2 linked regions of the Tribolium castaneum genome follow. The protein of the gene in region 2 interacts with the protein of the main gene of each other region in a pairwise test. Links are inferred from orthologs where the notes say so. Each region holds a gene or a part of one and is shown on either strand. Other genes may lie near its edges. The genes, in order: dsh and N.

What was found.
Region 1: the proteins of N (region 2) and dsh interact in a two-hybrid assay, tested with the Drosophila melanogaster proteins (3 studies listed by BioGRID). The link is inferred for Tribolium castaneum from reciprocal best matches to the Drosophila melanogaster genes N and dsh.

The regions. Positions count from the first base shown.
Region 1 is NC_087401.1:8,565,001-8,569,337, reverse strand, and holds the start of dsh (segment polarity protein dishevelled homolog DVL-3), read right to left. Parts: upstream 2,979-4,337; 5' UTR 2,746-2,978; coding exon 2,585-2,745; intron 2,527-2,584; coding exon 2,457-2,526; intron 2,409-2,456; coding exon 2,218-2,408; intron 2,166-2,217; coding exon 1,833-2,165; intron 1,779-1,832; coding exon 1,650-1,778; intron 1,603-1,649; coding exon 1,508-1,602; intron 1-1,507.
Region 2 is NC_087400.1:103,918-107,746, forward strand, and holds the end of N (notch), read right to left. Parts: coding exon 2,902-3,829; intron 2,438-2,901; coding exon 2,218-2,437; intron 2,166-2,217; coding exon 1,186-2,165; 3' UTR 548-1,185; downstream 1-547. Other genes in the region: protein FAM91A1, read left to right, coding at 53-122, 174-284. UniProt on the Drosophila melanogaster protein: Essential signaling protein which has a major role in many developmental processes. Functions as a receptor for membrane-bound ligands Delta and Serrate to regulate cell-fate determination.

The sequences.
Region 1 (4,337 bases), on a different chromosome or scaffold from region 2:
ATGTTGTTGCATAATTTGAATCACAAAAATTCCTCTACAAATGATAATAAATCTAATGGTTTTTGTTGGCCTGTCTCACTTAATAGAAAAATTACAGCTTTCCAAAAAGTCGGTATGAAAAATAATTTTTGGAGAATATCTTCCTTATTGATTATCCAATTATTAAACTTGACAATGTAAGAGACGAAAAGACGCTCTTTAATGTGATGTAAAAGACGCTCTTTAATGTGATGTACACGGAAGTTGTACATTTCCGATTGCAATGCGTCCCTTCCAGTTTTTTGACCATAACTTGATTTTTCACCCACTTCTTTTATACCAAAAATTGAAAGCCCATTCATTTTTCTTTAGAAAAGGGACACTTGTTGCATATCGCTAAAATGTACCGTTCTCGAGTTATTTGCGTTTAAAGTAAACTTTATAAAACCAAAAATTATGAATTCTGAGTGTTCCTTAGTTAAGAGTTTAGTTCTTCAATATCTAGTACACTAAGTTTAAATTAGCAAAAACAGCTACAGAAAAACAAGTCATCTCGTAAATAATTATAAAAATGTAAAAATTTTGTACCAATTTTTTTTGTGGCGAAGATATTACAGAATTTCATTTGCTCATATGTCACCACCAATTAGTAAAGTCAACTTTGGAAAAAGCGTCCTTAATTTTAGACGCTGAAGTGGAGGTTGTACTCTCTATATCTCAAAAACTAGTAGAAGTAATAAAAGTTTGGATAAAATAAGTTAATTTATTTTGACTTCCTTGAGCTTTATCAAGAAATATTTGCACAACTAGCAAATTCGCACCGTAGTTATGTTTACAAACACATGTTTTTAATTATTAAAATGTTTTTAGTTAGTAAGTCAATAATCTGTTTATCAGTTAACACTTCTCTTGCGGCTTTGTCATTATCAACCCCAACATATTCCTCAAAAGTTCGTTATAAACAGAAAATTGCGTCAGATTTTAAGTCAAATTTAGTTCGTTATAAGCGGTAAAAAATACATTGAGCTTTAAGGCATTGGCAACTTAAAAAACAACTTTGTCTTAAGTGAAGACTAAACACTTATTACAATAGTGAAAACCGTTTCTCTGTAACTGCTCTTTAACTCAAGTTATTTCGATTTAAATTAGAAATCATGATGTCGTAACCGTCTCCAGCATTTGGTCCGATATAAAGATCAAATGGTTTTTGACTTTTAGGTGACACTGTCAGAGTTTATAAAGATTTCTCAAATCTCAATTTCTCAAAAAAGTTTTTGGTGATTGGAGGGTTCAGTGTTACGTTGTGACGTCATGATTTCTTCCTTTCAAAGCGATTATCTCGCTTATTTCTCATCGCGAAAAAATTTAAATAGAACCTAAAGATATTTTCAATTTCCGTTGAAACATAAAATACGAAAAATAAGTTGCCAATGCCTTCATGGAATGATTTTTTTTGGTGCTTGAAAAATAGTACATTATAGCCGGAAGTTCGTTATAAGCAGACTCCACTGTATAGTGATTTAATTACCTGGGTCGATAGGCCTCACTGGTTCAGTTCTAGGTATAGTGAAGTAGCCTTTGGGGTTGGGATCCCAGCACTTCGCCACAACCAGCTTGATCGGTCTGAAAATTGAATAAAAAAATTGGGCTTATATTTTTCTGATACCAACCCTGGTTTTTGGACCACTTCTCGCAAAACCCTAACCGCCTCATCATTTGACATATTTTCAAAATTAACGTCATTGACTTGCAAAATCATGTCGCCTGGTTCTATTCTACCATCAAGGGCGACAGCCCCCCTATAAAAATTTACATCAAATTAATGAGACACACAAAATAAAATTGTGATGTACCCTTTCATAATGGATCCGACGTAAATGCCACCGTCGCCCCCTTTATTGCTTTGCCCCACAATTGAAATTCCTAGAAAATTAACCGTGTCCATATTCAAGGTCACTGTTATAATATTCAAGGACATTGTCGAATCTGTGATGCTGGAATATGAGGATGTTCGTGACATTGCTTGCATTCGTTGTTTTCGTCGTCTTTGCGGTCTTTTGCGCCCCGCGACATGTAACCGACTCACACTGGAGCATTCTGAGAGGGCCGTGTGTCTTCCGGTTGTCTCAGACTGAAAACTTGTGGTCTCTAAATCGGAACTGACAATTGAAGCGGTTTCGTAAACTCTAAAATTGGGATTATTTACCACAGACTTATAAATATAAGTGAAAACAGTACCGTGGAAGGTGTCCGTTAATTCGTGATGAGTATTTGTGGTGGCGCCTTCCCTGTCTCGAACTAATGATACTTTCAGTGTCGGTGCAGATTGATTCGGGGGCTTGGGGGGGCACACGTTCCGACTGGTGTGTGACACTGTCAGTGCACTGTGAGCCCCCATCCGATTGATTTGAGCCATCGGCTGAAACTAACTGTAGGGCAATTAATGCGCCCCCTTCTCTAGCGAGCTAGAAACGTACCCAACTAACAACACGTCCGTTAAAACACGGCAAATGTGCGCTGTCGTCGATGATTTCCTCTTTAACGACTCTGCAAACGAATTGTTACGTTTTAATCACCCGAAGGGTGAAACACACGAGAGAATTACCCGAAATCATCGTCCATCGACTTGAAAAAGAATTTGTAATTGGGGCGATTTAACACATTTTTAAAGTCAGATAAGGTCACTTTTTCCGGCGAAATCGGTATCTTTACTAAATAGGGGGTCTCCTCGTCGTCTATGTGATAAATAACTTTCGTTTCATCCATTATTTCACTCGATTTTCGCGAAAAACTACACAATTTGACAGGAGAAAAACACTTCAACACAACATGGCCGACATCATTAAAGTCATCCCCACCCAAGGGGATTAAAGAGATCAAGACAACGGATAAGGGGGCATTAAACCCGCAAAGACGCGGCCCCGCGAACAGCCCCCTACCGCTAGTTACAAGTTTTGGCTACGTGGTGCAAAGGGCCCGTATATTTTGCGAAAATTGGTTTGTTGTGAAAGGGTAGAGTTCTTTATTACCGGCCGATTTTTTCTTGATAGAATTGTTGTAAATTGGCGAAAATGTAACCAATTTAGGCGCATGATTGCGAAAAAGATTAATAAATTGATGAAAAACACATTTGCGTTTAAAAATTATCAATCGATGTCTTTTGAAAAGTTGTTCATCCGATATTGTCACTCTAGAGCTGTAAAGGCGGTTGCATAATCACAATATTTTAGAGCAGTATTTTACTATGTTCATTTTACATATAGATTATTTAAAATAATCAACCGTTTAATCAAAATTTCGACCAAGTTCATCTCATGATTAGTAGAGACATGGTTGCGCCGTAACTCTTTGGAGGAGTGGGAGAACCGCCACGTTGATATGTCACAAGATTACAAACGTGTTGTTTACATCGTGTTTTTTGTGGTTTTTAATAAAAAGTAACGATTGTAACCCAGTGGTGATGACTATTAGTTAATAGTGTTGTTTAGCTTGATAACAGTGCAGTGAAAAAATCAGATACACCACTAGGAGGGGAATTTCAATTTTGCAGAACCAATAATAATTTGCAGATCAGGGCTTTAAAATAACCCTTAAAAACATCCCCCAATTCCCTAGACGCTAGTCACCCCTTTTTTTAAATTTTAAATGACACTCAATTTTTGGAATAGAAAGAAAAAGCTTGTCTAACCGTAAAAAAATGTTGATTTGCATTTTGAAATTTTTAGTCATTGGGAGCCTTTGATTTTAAGCCCATTTGATTTAAACAAACAAACAATTCAATTTGACTTGCAAAGGTAGAGGTCAAAACCAACATTAAAGATGTTTATGTTTAGGCTTCATTCCCTAGTCGCTAGCCACTCCTTTGACATTTTAAATACCGCCTTCTACATTTTGAATCATTATTAGAAAAAAAAATATATTAGAAAGAAGGGAAAACTAATCTAATTGTAGAGAAAACACATAATTGTAGATTTGTTTTTGAGTTAGGGGTGGTTTTAAAAAGTGGGGGGTACAATTTAAAGTTCAAATTAACGGGATGATGTAACCTAAAACGAAGAATATGCTAGTTTTAGACTCTCGCCTTCCATGACGAATCTATATGTTCTTTATTTAAATTAAATTGGCTTAAAATCAAAGGCTACTAGGTATTACGATCAAAAATAAAATTACACCTAACTCAAAAACTTTCCATAAGCTATGTTTTAGCTAATAAATATCGAAGTCTTTTAATATGAACAAAATAGTAATTCGTATTTGGACCAAACTGGCTCCAGGGGAGAAACGGCATATTTTCGACTAAGGGTTGTATACAAACGTTTTCTCACGCAAGAACCTCCCTAAAGTGTGGCACCATATCT
Region 2 (3,829 bases):
GTAATTAATCAATTTATAATTAGATGGCGCTCATTGTTATAATGTGTTTCAGTTTGTCGAATTTAGTCGAATCGAGTCGGAAATTAGGTTCGGCACTTTTAGATTTTATTTCGCAATGTCAGGTAGGCTTTGTTTTTGTTTTGTTTCAATTATTCTAGGGATTTTTATTACAGTACTATCCGGGTGAAAATATGGAAATTATGAAACGTGGACGGTTGGTACCATTGCCACGTTATAATCTCGTCTTCGATAATGGTAAAGTGAGCGAATGGACGGGAAAATAAATAAATAAGCAATATTTTGTACAAATTTTGTGATAAGTTGGAGACTTAATTTTGTAAATACTTTGCATTTATTTTATGGCAGGGTTAGGTTTCATTTTCCGGACCAAAACATTTGATTACATTTCCAAACGTACTTTACTTTAAGTATTAATTATTTTATTAAAACTAGAAATAAACACGTATTGAAACAATCTTTGTTTTAATTTAACTGTTAATATTGTGGATTTGACACAAGTGTCTTGAGTTGGAGGTTAGGAAAAATGTTTAAAAAAAAAAGAATTTATTATGTATATAGTACAAAAGCAATTTTTGCGTTTACTTAACAACTAGTACAATATGTTTCAACTAAAAAAAGAGAACCTTAAAATAAATCCATCATTAGTGGCCTAATCAGTACTTTTTACAAGGATTCAATTATAAAAAAATTAAAAAAAAAGGAAGTAGTATATAAATAGAAACCTTCCAAACTGGTTTAAAATATACAGAAATTTGAAAGACGCTTTAAAACTTGATCCCAACAACGGAATGTACTTAAAAACTGGTTTAAAAAATTACCTAAATATCTTTATCAAAAATATTAACAATTTATTCTAAAATATATTGTCTTATAAAAATTGTCAAAAATTACGATACGTACGCCCTCTTTGAGCGAGCGAGCGAACCTTTTATTACTTTTTCTAATATCTGAATCACAGACACGCTAACTAAATGAGAATTACTAAAATAAAAAAACCCTAATTAATCGAATGTCATGTGATTGGAGCTTGCTTAAGTTGTCTCTTTCTCTACTAATAATATTAATAAAAAATAAAGATATGTACAATTGTGTCATAAAAAATCTTACAATAACAACCGTTCAAGGCACGTAGTATTTAGTAAATTTTGGCATATAATTCTATACTCAAATATAGATCGCATCCGAGCCTTTGTTAGTCTGATGTCCACCCCCATAAGTATTATTCGGACTGGCGACATTTTCGGACCAATCCGAATTACAACTCCGGGGTGAACTCGACGACCAGTGACCCGGACTTTCCGGACTCGGTGTTGGAAAATTATCCGGTAAGAGATCGGAGTGTTGTGAGGGCGGAGTCAGATAATAGTTTTGTTGTTGAAATTGTAAATTTCCACTTACCAATCCTGGATATGTCGCCATTGGCAACTCCAATCCAGTTTGACTAAAATCAAAACCCATTTGTAAATTTTGTGCTTGTGGCACGCCTCCGTGCTTCTGTTGGGTGGCGGCACGCATTGCCGCTATATGGGTGGGGCTTGTCGGGAGCGAGGGGCGTGTCTTGGCCGGGGATGGTGAACCGTTATAACCTTGCGGCGATAACGACATATTCGATTGCACGGAATGGGGCGGGGATTGATTCGAATAGGGTGGGCTTAAGGTGTTGGCTTGTTGTAATTGGCGCTGCTGCATCATCATCGTATCGTGGAAATTACCCAAATTGAACGAGTAATTTTCCAAGCCAACTAGACCGTGTAAATTATTCTTAACCACATCTTCATAGCTTGGTGGTTGTTTATTAATCAATGACTCAAGTCCTTGTGGTGTTAGGCCCATATTTGAGTAAATCGATGCAGTGTCGTAAGGACTCGGTAGATTTGTCGTCATTGGGGATTCAACTGGACTTAAGGTTGAAGTTATTGAATCAACACTTTGGGGGATTTCTTGTTGTGGGGTTGGTTTCTTTGATTTTTTCACGCTCGGTTTACGTCGGATACTTCCGGTGTTGATCGTTTCCATTTCGGGACTTGTCGGGTCCAACGATGCGTTATTGTTATTATTTGAGTTTTTACTCGGCCTTTTTGATTTTTGACGTTTTGGGACGATTACTGTTGGTTGTTGTAATTGTAATTGGCCGCTAGGTGATGCTGTAACAATTTTTTTGATTGGTGGAAAAATATTCATATAATAAAAACTTACTCATCATCGAACTATTCGGTATAACATTGACCATTTGTGGACTTCTTGGGACATGTTCATCCAAAAGTCGCACTATATCATGATGTAGACGTTCACTGGCGACATCTCGTGGCAATCTATCCATGTGGTCGGTAATTTCCCGATTAGCGTAAGCTTCAAGTAGTGCTTTACACGCCTGATATGAGCCTTCTCTTGCCGCAAGAAACAGAGGCGTTTCATCCTGAAAAAAAGATTTTACAAATTGTAGGTTTGAAACACTTTCGACTGCTAAAAATAAAAAACTAAAAATTTCTCTGTGAAATGCGTCATTATTTCGCTTCGATTTGGAGAAAATTTCGCTAAAATATCAACAATTATTTTCGCAAAAATGTGCTCGGAAATTAGGTGAAATTATTATTATTATTGTATTATCGTTAGAAAGCTCTTTAAATTATCTATCTTTTTCAAAAAAGATCATTGTTCTCCGACTAATAGTTTTCGAGAAAATTGCAAATAAAATCGAAAATAGGTAAAATTTTAAAAATTCATAACTAAAAAACTATTAGGAATTTGGCAATTTTGTCGACGCCAGTCGATTCCCCGGATCATTTTACATAGGTAAAAAATAAAATAGTGCCACTTTTTCGAATAGTTTAGCCGTAATTGAGAAAATTAAAAAAAGTGCTTAACACTTATCCCACCTACCTTATCATCTTGTGCATCTCGATTGGCCCCATGGGCCAGCAACACATTAACCGCCTCCACATTATTAACAGCAGCGGCCCAATGCAATGCCGTCTTCCCCGAATTATCCGCCGCATTAATATCAGCTTCAGCACTAATCAAATCCTGAACCATCCCTTCAATAGCTAGTCTCGCTGCCAGGATCAAGGGCGTCGTCCCTTCATGCATCCTTGCATTGAGATTAGTCGCCCGATTCCGCAACAAAATCTGGAAAACCCCCAACGCATCCGCCGCCACAGCTGCATGCAGTGGCGTTCGTCCCGTATTATCCTGCGCATTAGCATCCGCTCCGGCATCAAGTAGGCGTTTAGCGGCGTCGGCACGGGCATAACGTGCCGCTAAATGTAACGACGTCTCGCCTGTTTTATCCATGGTAGCGTTAAGCTCCGCCCCTTGCGCTACCAAATCCTGAATCACCGCCCCCGCTGAATCATCCTCATCATCCTCACCCGTATCCATGCCACCGCCACGTGTCGACGCCACCATTATTGGAGTCATACCGCACGGTCCACGTGCGTTAACATCATTCAAATCGCCTTGGGGCGGAGTCAGCATCGAGATTGGTTTAACATCAGCCGCCTCCAAATGCTGTTGTGACCACACCCTTGGCTCCGCCTCCTCGTAATCGGTAATCCCCGTATGATCACTCGCATAACCCGTCTCCAAGCCACGGAAACGCTTCGGTTGTGGCATATCTGAGTCATCGTCGGACCACTGTGGCACATGACCTTGCCCATGATTATCAATTTCGAGTGGGACCGATGGGTGTTTGCCCATATTGCGCAGTTCTTGTCCTTCGGGGCCACGTCTGCGGCTCCGCCTACGCGGCCCAGTGTTGGCCAATGACCAGCCTTCCGGAAACCACGTGATGCCACTGGCGCGTTTCCGT